Linked DNA regions of Schizosaccharomyces pombe. The gene in region 1 interacts genetically with each later gene. Each region holds a gene or a part of one and is shown in the gene's direction. Other genes may lie near its edges.

Evidence for each region.
Region 2: of shr3 (region 1) and ubc15, changing one suppresses a phenotype caused by changing the other (phenotypic suppression), as found in Schizosaccharomyces pombe (one large-scale study listed by BioGRID).

The regions. Positions count from the first base shown.
Region 1 is NC_003423.3:1,173,289-1,181,263, reverse strand, and holds shr3 (chaperone protein Shr3), read left to right. Parts: upstream 1-5,350; 5' UTR 5,351-5,398; coding exon 5,399-5,509; intron 5,510-5,898; coding exon 5,899-6,435; 3' UTR 6,436-6,784; downstream 6,785-7,975. Other genes in the region: protein Trm734, read right to left, coding at 1-220; mef1 (mitochondrial translation elongation factor G), read left to right, coding at 872-3,184; translocation subcomplex subunit Sec66, read right to left, coding at 3,825-4,403; mtx1 (metaxin 1), read left to right, coding at 7,180-7,975. UniProt on the Schizosaccharomyces pombe protein: Involved in amino acid permease processing and required for the efficient translocation of structurally related amino acid permeases from the endoplasmic reticulum to the plasma membrane.
Region 2 is NC_003423.3:3,519,687-3,527,144, forward strand, and holds ubc15 (ubiquitin-conjugating enzyme Ubc15), read left to right. Parts: upstream 1-3,083; 5' UTR 3,084-3,188; coding exon 3,189-3,233; exon of another isoform or gene 3,234-3,315; coding exon 3,316-3,459; exon of another isoform or gene 3,460-3,462; intron 3,463-3,537; coding exon 3,538-3,567; intron 3,568-3,584; exon of another isoform or gene 3,585-3,643; coding exon 3,644-3,869; exon of another isoform or gene 3,870-3,939; coding exon 3,940-3,998; 3' UTR 3,999-4,459; downstream 4,460-7,458. Other genes in the region: TREX/TREX2 complex subunit Pci2, read right to left, coding at 1-120, 187-318; EMP70 family endosomal transport protein Emp70, read left to right, coding at 675-873, 1,022-2,712; RAVE complex subunit Rav1, read left to right, coding at 4,987-5,073, 5,189-7,458. UniProt on the Schizosaccharomyces pombe protein: Catalyzes the covalent attachment of ubiquitin to other proteins. Has a role in the formation of chromatin structures that influence the localization of transcriptional silencing factors.

The DNA.
Region 1 (7,975 bases):
CTTGTTTACAAGGAAGCATTCCATGTATTCTATTATGAAATGGAAGTAAAATTGATTTAATTAAATCACTTTCGTGTCGACTTTCAGAAACATCGTAAATTCTTAAACAAGGTCCTTGAGCACAGCATAAAAACTTATCATTGTGAATAAGGGCCAAGCTAGTAACAGGACCCACAAAGTTAACTGGCTCTAAAACACCTTTATCACCCTCAACAAGCATTCTTAAACCCTTCTTAGATTTTTAAGTCCAGATTCTTCAAGCTAAATATAATACGCCGTCATAAAAACCGTGAGAAGAATTAGAAAAAAAATGGTATTAACCGATTAAGCAGTAAGGATTGAATAAGCTCAGCTTAAAAAACTGCAAAGAGCAAAAAACCCTAGTAGTAGAAATAGATTGCGATGGTGGTGAGGTTCAAACCGATTGTGGATACTAGAAAAGCGCGCTTTCTGATACAATGCCCAAAATACTTCATGACAAAATAGTTGTATTTCTTTTATAAGTACTATGCTTGGACCGCCTCATGAATCATTTAAACATGGAGATACCGAATACAGAACGAAGTCGCTTTTTTCTTGACGATAAGCAAGCTACTTTTAAATAATCAGCAACATTCAATTGCAAATACATATATATTCTCCATATAAAATGTATATTTTGTTATTCATTAAAAATGCGTTAAGTAAGTATTTGATTTACGTTTAAATAAATTTAATATGTTACCGCGGTAACTCGCGACACGTAAACAAAGCGACTTTGCTCCTCCCACCTTGCTCGACGACTCTCACCACCTCAGCGTGTTCCCAAAGCTAGGAATTTATTGTTTATGTTATTCATGGCTGTTTTTATATTCTATTGAAATAATATAAAATGCTAAAATTATCATTTAGGTCGCTGACAAGCCGCCTCCCCAGACTTTCTACTTTAGTCGTCCGTGGTTACGCGTCAGTAGCAAATACGGGCATTGAAGCTTCTAATACATCAGAAAATAATTTGAATATCCAAGAACAGTTGAATGATAACGATAAAAAGCGACTTAAACAAATTCGAAATATTGGAATATCTGCCCATATTGATTCCGGCAAGACTACCTTTACTGAAAGAGTTTTGTACTATACAGGAAGGATAAAAGACATTCATGAAGTCAGAGGAAAGGATAATGTCGGAGCAAAAATGGATTTCATGGAACTTGAACGGGAAAAAGGAATTACCATTCAATCGGCTGCTACCCATTGCACTTGGGAACGTACTGTGGATCAGATTGAAGCTAACGAAAAACAAAAAACTGACTTTGAGAAAAGTTATAACATTAATATTATTGATACACCTGGTCACATTGATTTTACCATTGAGGTGGAGCGTGCCTTACGTGTGCTAGATGGTGCAGTGTTGGTACTCTGTGCTGTCTCCGGTGTTCAATCGCAAACTATCACAGTTGATCGACAAATGCGCCGCTACAATGTCCCCAGGATCTCTTTTGTTAACAAAATGGATCGTATGGGTGCAGATCCGTGGAAGGTCATTCAGCAAATAAACACAAAATTGAAAATTCCCGCTGCAGCTGTTCAAATTCCTATAGGTCAAGAAGACAAACTTGAAGGTGTGGTTGATCTTATACAAATGCGTGCAATTTATAATCGTGGGTCGAAGGGTGAGAAAATCGAAATTTCTCAGCAGGTTCCTGAGAATCTTATTGAACTAGCAAAAGAAAAGCGCTCAGCTTTAATTGAAAAGCTTGCCGATTTAGACGAAGAAATTGCTGATATATACGTAATGGAAGAAGACCCTACACCTGAGCAGCTTATGGGAGCTATTCGTAGAACTACACTTGCAAGGAAGTTTACACCTGTATTAATGGGTTCTGCCTTGTCCAATGTTGGAGTTCAATCTGTTTTGGATGCTGTTTGCGACTACCTACCCAACCCTTCTGAGGTCGAAAATATAGCTTTGAATGCAGCAGACTCAGAAAAGCCAGTATCCCTTGTTCCTAGCAGTGAGAAGCCGCTTGTCGCTCTTGCTTTCAAACTCGAGGAGGGAAGGTTTGGCCAGCTCACCTATTTGCGAATTTATCAAGGTACACTCAAGCGGGGTAATTACATTTACAATGTCAATTCTACAAAAAAAATAAAAGTTTCACGCCTCGTTCGTATGCATTCCAATGATATGGAAGAAATCGAAAAGGTTGAAGCTGGAGGGATTTGTGCGTTATTTGGTATCGAATGCGCTTCTGGAGACACCTTCACGGACGGTTCCGTATCGTATACTATGACTTCAATGTTTGTACCAGAACCCGTAATTTCACTTTCTTTAAAACCGAAGAGCAAAGATACAACCAGTTTTTCTAAGGCTTTGAATCGCTTTCAGCGTGAAGATCCCACTTTTCGTGTGCAGTTGGATAATGAATCGAAAGAAACCATCATTAGTGGTATGGGTGAACTTCATTTGGAAGTTTATGTCGAACGTATGCGTCGTGAGTACAAGGTTGACTGTGAAACGGGTAAACCAAGAGTTGCATTCCGGGAAACTCTTTCCAAAAAGGTACCTTTCAGCTACCTGCACAAAAAACAATCTGGTGGAGCCGGTCAATATGCAAAAGTAGAAGGGTACATTGAATACATGGATGGTGTGGAAGACGAATCTGGAAACGTTGTTGATTGTGAATTTATCAACAAAGTTACCGGTGGAACAGTCCCTACGCAGTATATTCCAGCTTGTGAAAAAGCTTTTTACGAAGCATTGAAAAAAGGATTTCTCATTGGTCATCCTATAAAAAATTGCAGGTTCGTTTTAGAAGATGGTGCTTATCATCCCGTTGATTCCTCTGAATTGGCATTTCGTTTAGCCACCATTTCTGCTTTCCGTACAGCTTTCTTGCAAGCGAACCCAATGGTTTTGGAACCAATTATGAACGTAAGCATAACGGCGCCTGTTGAACATCAAGGTGGTGTAATTGGTAATCTTGATAAGCGTAAGGCGACTATTGTCGATAGCGATACAGACGAAGATGAGTTTACGTTGCAGGCGGAGGTCCCTTTGAACAGCATGTTTTCTTATTCCTCGGATATACGAGCCTTGACTAAAGGCAAGGGTGAGTTTAGCATGGAGTTTCTCAAATATCTTCCAGCACCAAAATATGTGCAGAAGGAACTTGTTGACGCGTACAACAAACAACAACAAAAATAATTTTTGAAGTCCGTTTTAAATGAAGCAACAGCAAAGTTTTTGGTAACCAGTCATTTCTATTTAAAAAAAAAAATTTTGATCCACTCTCCTCTTTACTAACGCAGCAATCTACATGCAAATAAAAAAAATAAATACCCAGATTATTACCATACAAGTAATGTACAATTTTTTTTGTGCAAGATAGTTCATGGAACAGAGAATGAGTATATTAAAGAATATGAAGAGTAAATTATAGACCAACTTATAAAGGCTGAGCTCTTAACGGAGACATTTTGGCCAGAACATACATTTGAATTCCAATAACTTGTTTTCAAATAGTGCTTTTTTCTTTTTCCTTCTTTCTTTCCATATTTTTGTTATTGGTTTGGAAAAAAAAGGGAGTAGGAATAGGATGATAGATAATATGAATAGGAAAAAAGTATGACTTTCAATATAAAGGTAAGGACAGTGATAAAGCAAGCCCCCTTTATGGAGTCTATTACTGAATTTGATTTATGAATGAGTTCTAAGGATTATTGTATAAAATAGGAATTTTAGTTTCAAAGAAAGAAAAAGATAAGAAAACGTAAAACATCAGATGCAAGAAAGAAACAGGAAAAAAAGAATAAAGGCACATACGAACATCTTTTTTTAAAACAATTTATAGCACTCCAAGTTCTTTTTGGGCTTGAATACGCAATTCCTCATCAGCGGCTTCATACAGAATTTTTTCGGTTTGCCAACGTTGCGAAATAGAATCAATGTCCTTGGGAATATTATCAATTATGCTGTGAATTTTTTCGTTTTCAATTATTTCATTGCAAGTTTGGAATATAAACTGATTCCATCCAGGCTGCAATGAATTGGCAGTTTTGGCAATATCCATCAACTCCAATTCAGTTTCCTTTTCCAAACGACCAAACTTACGAATTAGCTCGTCACCAACGCCGCCGCGGTTGAGCAAATTATTCAATGCCATTCTCGATACTTTAAGCTTCATCAATCGACGAAGACCTTCTGTAGCCCGTAAAACGAGAGCAGCTTTCAAAAGTGTATCCTCGGCAGGTGGATTCTGCTGCAAAAGACTGAAAAATATATTTCTAGAATAATTTTCTCCAAACCATTCTTCTGATACTGGTTTTGATTCCTGATTTTTGGATTTTCGCACAAAACGAGAAACTCCATACATAGAGCCCATTAAAATGGTAATATATATCAAGGGAACGTAAATCGACACCATATTGAATTAATTAACACGGCCAAGTATGTAAAGCAAGCAGGGACCTTTTTCTTTAACAACTCGTATACCCTTTTTGTATTATTTGTTTTTTGCAGAGTGGACTGCAAATATGTATATGAGATATAACTTCGAGACCAAATGAATGCAAGACCAGTTTAGGTGTGAAAGGAGAATAGTGTGTTTTCTGGAATGCTTTATATTTTATAAGGTTGATGTAATTTTCTGTTATTTGTAGATAAGAGATATTTATGTTTTCTTAAAGACGCTAAAATATTTTACGCGATGCGCTATTAGATAAACAAATCGATCGGATATTGTTCAATTGTTTGTTTAAACTCAGGTAAAAGTTTTTAGAATTAGAAATGAAAAAAATTTACTAATAGGGAACTAGGATAATAAACAATTGAGCATTTTAGAAACAGATTTTGCGACCATTGTGAAAACTGACGAAACATATAGTTAGGAAGACAAAAACACCTCATTTATGAAATTATTTCTTTTTTTCAAGTATACAAAGGATCTTTGTATGTTCTTCTATATTGTTTCTGTAGTTTTATTAGTATTTTTACATATCGAGGCATTGGCATTCATTTGTTTTATTTACAGCCAATTAATAAATTCCCTTATTTTGATATAAGCTTTACAGTCTCGCTTAACTTGAAAACGCTATGATGTTGTGTATTCAGTTACAATAAATAGTGACATACAATAGTCGCTCAAATATATCTGGTTATATTTTATATTAAATAATTTTGCCAACTGATTTATCTTGGGTTGATTTTTCTTATTCGTGAGATTTAGATAGCCGTTCATGATGTTTTTCTGCATACAATGCATATTAGTGGAAAATGCGTTCGATTTCCTTATACTCATACAATCCTTTAGACCGTCGAAAGCGGAGTGGTATCACTTTGGTATAAAAAGGTAGTCTTAATTAACCTACCACTAACGTATATTTTCATTAACAAAAAAAAAGTTTATTATCATTATTCAAGATGGCTAAAAGATCCATATTTCGTTTTGCTGATGAAAAGGGCTTGAAGGTCGCTGCCCGTTATGGAGTCCTTATGTCAACTAGTTTTATTTTTGCTTTACTTTTCCACAGCGTATGTTCCAATCAAATTTCTATTTTATTCTAAGATTATTCATTTGAAAATCAACTTTCATTTGATATCAATTTCGTTTAGCTTTTGGAGACAAAGGGAGCAGAATATGAGAAATTATAAGTCGGTACTTTGAGTGAATTCTGAATTTGTTTTACAAAACATGCATTGTTAAAATAAATCTGGAAAATTATTTTATCAGGAACGTTTCTAAAAAGGAGCTTTTTGTCTGTTTAAGTTTTCATAATCGGATACGAGCATTCATCTTACCGCTCAATGTTTGCCGCGCTGCTCATTTTTCTGTTGTTCTTATGTTTTTGGAGCTTCACTTCGAATTGATTACTTTGTTCATAGTCTTTATTTTCTTAGCATAAATTACTAATGTCATTTAGAGCGTTGCCGATGTGAATACCTTATGGAGTCCTGGCCCTGAGTCTGCTTTCGATGCTGCTGAAACTTACTATACTTTGGTGGCTGGATCCCATTTCATTGTAAAATATACTGTATATACCATCATGGGACTTAATATGATTTTCCATCTTATTCAAGCCACTGGCGCTAAAGGTGATGACAAATTGTTCTTTTACTCTAGCACGCTTCTTTATCTTACTGCACTAATTTTGTTTATTGTTAATGTTGCTCCTTCTATGTTGGTTGTTAAGCTACAGAATTATGTTCAATTCCCACGAAATATGCACTTGTCCGTTCTTGCTGCTTCTCATGTTCTTGTTGAATTTCTTCTTGCTGGTGTCATTCTTATTCAACTTGGATACGTTTTCGGATATCATGTTCAAAGTATCCAGCAGCGCGAATACGCTGAAGATATGAGGGAGCAAGAATTAGCTGAAAAGGCTAAATTGGAATCCGAGTCTGCTACTACTCAGAGTGTAGAAACTGTTTCCACCGAATCTGTTTCAAAGCGCAAGTAAACAAACCACTTGGGTCTAATTTTACAACTTTTGGAATAGAGTGAACTATTTTATATCTTGCTAATTATTGTTGCTAGTCCGTCATCAACTCTTTGACGCAAAGTTTATGTCTAACTAGAAAGCAAAGAGTGACTTGCATTGACGGTAACTGGGAAAGCTTACATGTGTATTCATACGTACAATTATATATATACAAGATTTATACTGTCTTATATAAGAAATAAATTGACTTGAATTTTCGATAGAGGAATAGTTCGTTATGTTTGGATTTAGAATAGTCTTTAGCACACTTATACTTCTTAATAATTAAATATGTACTCATTGTGCAAAAAGGATTATCACAAGTGAAGCTTTTGTGAGATTGTATATTCTTCTATACTATGGATGCATAAACAAAGTCTCATTTTAGATGGGTTTTACGCTGCAGATACAGCAGAAGCGCCATACAAATATACTAAGTAAAATCTCAAAGTTCAAATGCTCAATCGATTTATTGTGCTAATTATCGATGTTTAATTCACTTTTTAACAACTAATAAATAGGTAACAATGTTACTTGTTCGTATAGCTTACTTGACTGCATAGCATCAGAATGATAATTGTAACTAGCTTCAGCGAATTTGGTAAGTTGGACTAGTTGGTTAGTTATTACCTTTTTTTTCTTTCTTCTGTGTTTCTCTAATCTCAACCCTACTGTAGACGGTAACTTTTTCAATTCATTCGTTCGGGTCATTTTTTGATCAAAATGTTGCAACTTTTCATTTATAGCCCAGGACTTGGGCAACCAACGATGGATCCTGGATGCTTAGCGGCATTAATTTATTGCGCACTTGCCGTCCCAAAGGACGAAATTGAAATTCTTCGCACTGCAAATTCAGGTATGAGCCCTACCCATAAGCTACCAGCTTTGTGGGATGGTCATGTTTGGATTGGATCTTTGAAAAACATTTTAATATACTTGAAACAGAAGGGCTATAATTTGGATAATTTTGATGCGAAACAGCTGGCCAATGTTATGGCCTTCACCAGTTTATTGGAAGGTTCCGTCAATGACCTTTGGTTATTAGAAGCCTTTGTTAATGAGGAAAATTTTGTTGAAGCAATAAGACCTGCTTGGTCAAAGGCACTTAAATTTCCTCATAATTATTTGACACCCAATGCTTTGCAACGGCAAGCAAAAGAACGCTTGGCTCAAACACTTGGTATTCGCGACGAAGAAGTCTCTTATGAAGCATCAAGGATGCCTATTTCTCATAAATGGACTAATGCTACTAGACATAGGCAAGCTCTACTGCGCACGCAAGCTCGTCGTATAAGAATTTCGTCATTAGCTCGGCAGGTATATGGTTCGCTTGAGTCCCTGATTTCAGATTCAAAATTTATATTCGGTGAAAAGCCAACATCTCTCGATTGTTTGTTTTACGCCTATTTATCTTTCCATGCTTTCACCAATGAGCTTCCTCAAGCAACTTTGCGACCATGTTTGCAATTCAACTCTCCCAAGCTTTATGCCTATCTCAAATCTTTACGCGAAACCTGGT
Region 2 (7,458 bases), 2.3 Mb from region 1:
AGGAGAAGATGCAGCATTTTCAACGTACTCAAAATAGGTAGTTACCAATTCCTTCCAACCTCTTATTCTTCCAAATTCTTTTTGAATGGTTCCGTTTAACTTATTTTTCCCCTTTCTATCCTTTATCACGGTTAGTTAATGTTATAACCTGAAGACAATTACTTGTAGTGCAAGCCTGCGACATACCAAAAAAAGAGTTTTACTGAGCTGTTGAAACGAGGGCTCTGATGGATCTAAAATAATACATTTCTCCAACGTATTGGAGTTTTTCTCTCCAACAGCGTTACTCAAAGTTTGCAGAAAGTCATTTAAGGACATTCCAACCTGTTCCTTCGCAACTTTTAGTACTAAACTTTCAATTATTATGTAACGATAAATAAGTTATAACAAGAAAACTCAACAGATATGTTTTCGCTTACATCGATGTTCTCCAACTCTCACGTTCTGAACCTCATATACGAATAACGAAAGTTAGCAGGTCGTAAACCGGTATACGAGGATTGTTAATAGCACAATAAAGAGACATACTAAGAGTACAGCAGCATTCCTCAAATTAAATGCTACCAGCATCAATCCCCAAAACCGTAGCACTTTATATTGATTTAGTCTTAATCATCTCGGTTTGAAAAGATTCTGTTTCGAGTCTTTGCCAAGAATTAGGGAAATAGTAAAATATGCTTTTACCTAGTATTCCCTCGTGTTCATTTAGCTTTGTTGTTTTCGTTTCCGTTCTTCTCCAAACCTGTTTTAGTTTTCAATTAACTCCCTTAAGTCCGAAAAACTATCCTCCCGGTGCTTCAATTGATACAACTGTCAATACCATTTCACCATTTATTGGAGATGGACGGGGTTCTGACATCTTTAATTATGAATGTACGTGGTTGATAGCTCACATGAAGGTTCATGTGTTTTTTTAAAAACTTTACAATTTTAAATTAGGAAAACACTATAGAAATATGATTTAATGAAGGATATAACATTTTCTCTCGAACTTTTTTGCTTGTTACTAACTTCACTTTAGACTACGATGAGCGTTTCCACTTCTGTCGACCAGAGAATATCGCAAAACAATCTGAGTCACTTGGAAGTGTGCTTTTTGGCGACCGTCTCTACAACTCTCCCATTGAAATAAAAATGCTTGAAAACCAGGATTGTGTTCCCTTGTGTGCCTCGATAATTCCCAGTTCAGATGTCAGTTTTATTAGAGATTTAATCTCCAAAAACTACGTTGTTAACTGGAACATAGATAATCTGCCCGTAGCAACATATTTAGAAGGGACTAACTCAAAGAACTACTCATTATCGCCAGGCTTTCCATTAGGCAAGAATACGGAGAAGGGAGTAATTCTATTCAATCATTATGATATAGTTATAGAATATCATACGACATCTAGTGACCAACACCGTGTTGTGGGTGCTTATGTAAAACCTGTCTCAAAGGAGTCTACTTTAGTTGATGGAAACCCAGTTTGTTCTTCGTCTTCAAATCCACAGTATTTACCGGAAGGAGCTGATCTTACTCTCGTGACCTCTTACTCAGTCTCTTGGAAATATTCCGATACTCCATGGGCTACCCGATGGGACAAATATATGCACATTGAATCTAGGCAAATTCGATGGATCTTTATTATCCATTCCGCAATTATTGACACATTTCTAATTTTTGTGGTTTCTATTATTTTGTACAGAACGCTAAATCGTGACATTAATAAATATAATAGCGCCTTTGTCGATCAAGAAGATGTTCAAGAAGATTTTGGTTGGAAGCTAGTTCATGGTGATGTATTTCGTCCACCTCGTAGACCCATGCTATTTTCTATCCTTTTAGGGACTGGTGCACAACTTCTTTTTATGAGCTCTGGTATCGTTTTATTTGCAATTTTTGGCATTGTTGCACCCTCTCGTCGTGGAAGTTTAGCTACAGCAACGGTGGCCTTATTCATTATATCAGGTTTCGTTTCTGGTTATGTATCTGCATTATCCTACAAACTGATGCAAGGTATGCTTAGAAAGCGAAATCTTCTGTTAACTCCTTTTGTCGTACCTGGTTTTATGCTTGCGGCAGCTCTTTTCTTTAACATGGTATTTTGGAGTAAAAGTTCATCATCAACTGTACCCTTTTCAAGCTGGCTTCTACTCATTTTCCTGTATCTATTGTTTACTGTACCATTAAGCTTTGTCGGTTCTTTAATCGGCTTTCGTTCTCGAGAGTTCGTCCCACCTGTTAGGACAAACCAAATCCCTCGTCAAATTCCATCTCATAGTATTTGGCTTTCGAGTTTTCCTAGTGCGATTATCGGTGGATCTATACCATTCCTCGTAATCCTTATTGAATTGTTTTCTATCCTTGACAGTTTATGGTTTCACCCATTGTATTTCATGTTCGGTTTCTCGTTCTTTTGCTTCGGTATTTTAGTAACCACTTGTATCATGGTTTCCATTATCACTGTTTATTTCCAATTGTGTTCCGAAAACTACAACTGGTGGTGGCGCTCTTTCATAACACCTGGATTTTGTGGAATCTATGTATTTATATTTTCAGTATTTTACTGGTTTTTTAAAATCTCATCATCTTCCCTTGCTACTGCCGTTCTTTATTTCGGCTATAGTTTACTGATTTCTGTTTTGGTATTTTTCTTATGTGGATCGGTTGGTTTCTTTGGCGCCTTTCTCTTTGTTAACAAAATTTATGCGTCCATTAAAATTGATTGATTATTCGAGGCATTTGTACATACCTCTTTATTTATTGTTCAATTTGAGCTTTCTCCGTTACAAACCTTATTAATCAACAAAATGACTTGGAGAACACTCTCTTTTATATTCAAATAATTTCATAGGAATATGCCGTTTTTTTTCGGTCATCCAATATATAACTACAGTTTGTTTTACTTTGTGTAATAAAACCTTAGGTACTATATCATAGAAGAAATTTGAAAATTGTAATCTTAACCAAAATGTTTACTTAGAGTAAATTAAATTTATGTTTTCTACGTTAAAAGCTTTATTATATGTTACATAAATAATACAAAAAAGGAATATTACTCTAACTATATTTACGAAGCTCGCCCAAACCTTTTTCAACTACCAGTATTTCGCCTTCAGCTCAACCCTACTTTAAAAATTGTCTTTATATTACTTTTTCTCAGTTTACCAAATATTTAGAACGTAATTATTAAAATATCGGAAGTATGCCTTCTTCTGCTAGTGAACAACTTCTTCGAAAACAACTAAAGGTAAGCGCACGAAATCTTCATATCCAAATATTCATGATTGTACATAGTATCTTAATTCTTGAACACATACTGATAGATATAGGAAATTCAAAAAAATCCTCCACAGGGTTTTAGCGTTGGTTTAGTCGATGATAAATCCATTTTTGAATGGGAAGTTATGATCATTGGACCAGAAGATACATTATATGAAGGTGGTTTTTTCCATGCAACATTATCGTTTCCTCAAGTATGTATTTATGTTTCACAGAAAAATAATATTTGTTGTATAAGGTAAACAAGCTGGTCACTAACCTCGAAAAATTAGGATTATCCTCTGATGCCTCCAAAGATGAAGGTATAGTAAATACATTGATTTTTTAATTGATAGAAACTACATAGTCTATGCCTAAAAACGATTCTAACGGTAACAGTTCACAACGGAAATTTGGCACCCTAATGTTCATCCGAATGGCGAAGTTTGCATATCGATTCTTCACCCACCAGGAGATGACAAGTATGGATACGAGGATGCTGGAGAACGTTGGCTTCCGGTACACTCTCCGGAAACCATATTGATTAGTGTAATTTCCATGCTTTCTTCCCCTAATGATGAGTCCCCTGCCAATATAGATGCTGCCAAGGAATTTCGAGAAAATCGTGAGTATATACTAACCTACAAACAAAAAAATTTACTCTTTAATAATCAAATCGTACTAACTTTTTCCAGCACAAGAATTTAAGAAAAGAGTTCGTCGACTTGTTCGCAGGTCAATTGAAATGATTTGAAGATAATGTTCAACCTAGGTCCCTAATTTCCTATATTTAGAAAAAAGGCTATGAAGGAAATTCAAGTCGCTGCATAGAAAACCTCCTAAGTCAACTAGCAGTAAAGCTTACTCAAAAAGTCTGTAGCTTTACAAGTTGAATTGCATATTTTATGCCATCTTTGAAGTATTGCCGTTGCCCATTTTTTGAATAAGTTTAGCAAACTGTTCATTTATTATCACATATAATGAAATATTGGCAGAACGGTTGACATTTTAAAACTAACAGCTTTTGATTCTTTTCTGTTTTTATTATAAAGCTTTCAAGTTTTTCAAGTGTTACAACCGCAAGTGATTTATCCTACTTCTTTACCAATTACAGCCATAATTTAGATAAACAACAAATAAAAATCTACATTTCACGATTGAATTTTTTTCTTTGAACAAACGTCAGCTAATACTTCGTGAATTGATAGTTTTCCATTGAAAATTTTCTATTCAAGTAATTATTTTCGCTTATACGCTCATACTTTATCAGCGACGGTTTCAATTCCGCGTTTTGCACAACATACATTGAATGCAGCGATAAATCTCAGTCTATTATATTTTACACTAACTAGCTCAATGTCTCCTACGTATCCGAATGACTGATTCAATGATTAATCAAACCAATTAAAGAATCTAGCGAAACTTCGTTGAGTTTGAAAATTAAATACTCAGAGTAACCATTTAAGATGAATATTAAAATTGCATTAAGAACCGTGAAAGCATTGCCTTTTCATTTAGCGTTTTTTTATTGCATTATGCTTAAACTTTTCAGAATGACAATTAATATTACGCTATTCCGCAGTATGGTGGTGTTCACACTGGTTCAAATGCGTATATGGAACGTAGACAGCTATTAGGTCAAATCAGATATTAATAGCTTTTATCATTGTCATTTCTCCCTTAACTATTTGCAAGTCGAAAAAAATCCAATTTTAGCTCATGCACAGCGTTCTGCAGTAAACATGCCTCTGGCATTCACAAATCCCGGTACACCTCTAAAACGTACAGCTGCCTACGACAATGTACAATGGAACCAAAATCGAATATTAGTAAGTGAATGGACGCAAACGATATGCGTTTGTCTGCTAGTGGTTAAACTGCAGAACGAAAGCAGCATGTCAAAGTATTGTTTCCAATTGAAGTAATTGTTTAACTAAATGGTAGACATTTGGAACTCGCTATACCGTATTAATTATTGTAAATAACTACGAATCTTATCAAAATATACAATTTGGAGAGTCTATTGGTGCAGTGGCTTTGGACCAACGTACGGGGTTTCTAGCAATAGCACATGGACAAGTTTTGGATATTTATAAGCCCGCCGATTCTTTGAAATGGACTCATCATTACAATTATATAACTCAGCTTTCTGAAGATATTACTCAACTATCTTGGGGATACAATTTTGATCTGTTGCTTTGTGCTTCGTCATACACTAAACTTATAAATTTCTCTGAAGACAAACCCAGGTTGGTTTGGTCGCAGAACAGAATCTCGGATTCATTCCTTAGTAGCACTATTTCTTCCGATGCTTGTTTTATAGCTTCTATCGAAACAAAAAATCCACTTGCTAAAGTTTGGCAGCGAACATCTCCTCAAGGTACAGTTAGCTCATGTGATGATTTCAGCTATCTTGTTCATCCTTGTCGCGTAAGGTTTTCCCAATGGTCTAAACACCTTCATCCGGACGCCAGTGGATCGACTCCCTTCCTGAGTACGGTAGGCTATGATAACGTTCTAAGAATTTGGCAAGTTGGTAGCCGATTTGGTTCTCAATTAATGCATCTTTCTTGTTTTCTTAACTTGAGAAAATACTACAAATCTGATCAACCACCATACTGCTGTTTTATTGATAAGGACGATTTTACTATAGCATTAGCACATGCTATAAGTCGCCATTCTGGTCAAGTGCATAAGGATCGCATTTTAAATAGGCTTCTGGCTTTGGCCAGTGGACAACCACATATATTTTTGCTATTTACTTTTGAATGTTTGTACATATTTTCTCTAGTAATTGACCAGGAAACTTTGTCATCTTTTGAGCTTATTAATCAAGTTCCAACGAACTTTCCCAAAGGCGCTCTTCAACCTGACGGATTTATACCTATTTACAGGACCTCAAAACACGAATTTTACGATTATAACATCATTTTATTTTTTCAAAATTCCGCCCGTGAATACATGTTTAGTCTTACCGATTTCTTTTATAGTGACTTTGAGTTAAGAGTTAGTTACGATTTTTATGGACATGATTATCCCATAAAAAGCTTAACAAGAACCTCTAATGGTCATGGAATTGTATCCCGAGATGTTAATCGTATCTGTATGTTTCAATCATACATATCGCAAGACGGGAAAAATCAGTTAATTTGCAGGTTCAGATTATTACTTGGAGAATCTGACTTTATATTACCTCTTTATGCTGGTGAATATGCAGCAGTACTCAACTTAAATTCTTTAAAATTATGGCATTGCAATGAAGCAATTCCTCCAACCCTTCTCTGTACATGTCGTCAAGTCCCTACTAGTCCGATAATAACCTTCTTTATTCTTCCTGTTCAAAACAACGATAATTCCGCCCTATGTGCTTTGACGGAAGGAGGCCATGCCTGGTTTTGGAGTGTCTCTAACGAAGCTCATGATGGTTCTGCTGTACTTCGGTTTATAGATCGGGTAAATTTTACAAAGAATTTAAATATCGCATCGGCTGTAGATGTCATGGGTTGGTCTTCTACTTTAAATTTGAGCAGTTTATCTTCATTTGATCAAGAGGTATTTCAATCAATATCAAAAGACGGTTTATTACAGACTTGGATGGCAAGAGTATTGGGAGACGATAAAGCGGAAATATCGGAAATTTCCAAAGTGCAAACTAGCATCAAATCTGCAACTATGATCAAAGGCTCAACATCCAAGAAAGTTGCTGTTGTATCTGAGAACAATCGTCGACTTTCAATTTTCGACACGCGTAGTTCAGAATTCTCTGAAAAGGAAGAATTTTCCTCTGTTTTTGATGATTATGGACCAATAAATGACTTGGATTGGACTTCTACTCCCAATTCCCATTCTATCTTGGCTGTTGGCTTTCTACATGATGTTATTCTTTTGTGCCAAAATCGCCGATCTTATATGAACGATATTCCATGTTGGTCTCGTATTCGTAGATACAATCTTTTAGAATATACAAATTCATTAATATCTGACTCTTCTTGGTTGGATAATGGGACTTTAGTTACTGCCATTGGTAACGGACTTTTTTATTTTGATAATTCACTTCCCGAAGATCAGTCTTTACTGTTCCCTGCATCATTGAAACGTTCCGCAAAAAATATTTTTGATCTTGCATACCAGCTTAATGGAATTTTACCAGTTTTTCATCCTCAATTGTTGCAGCAGCTTTTACTTAGAAACCAACCCTTTCTATTTACTAATAT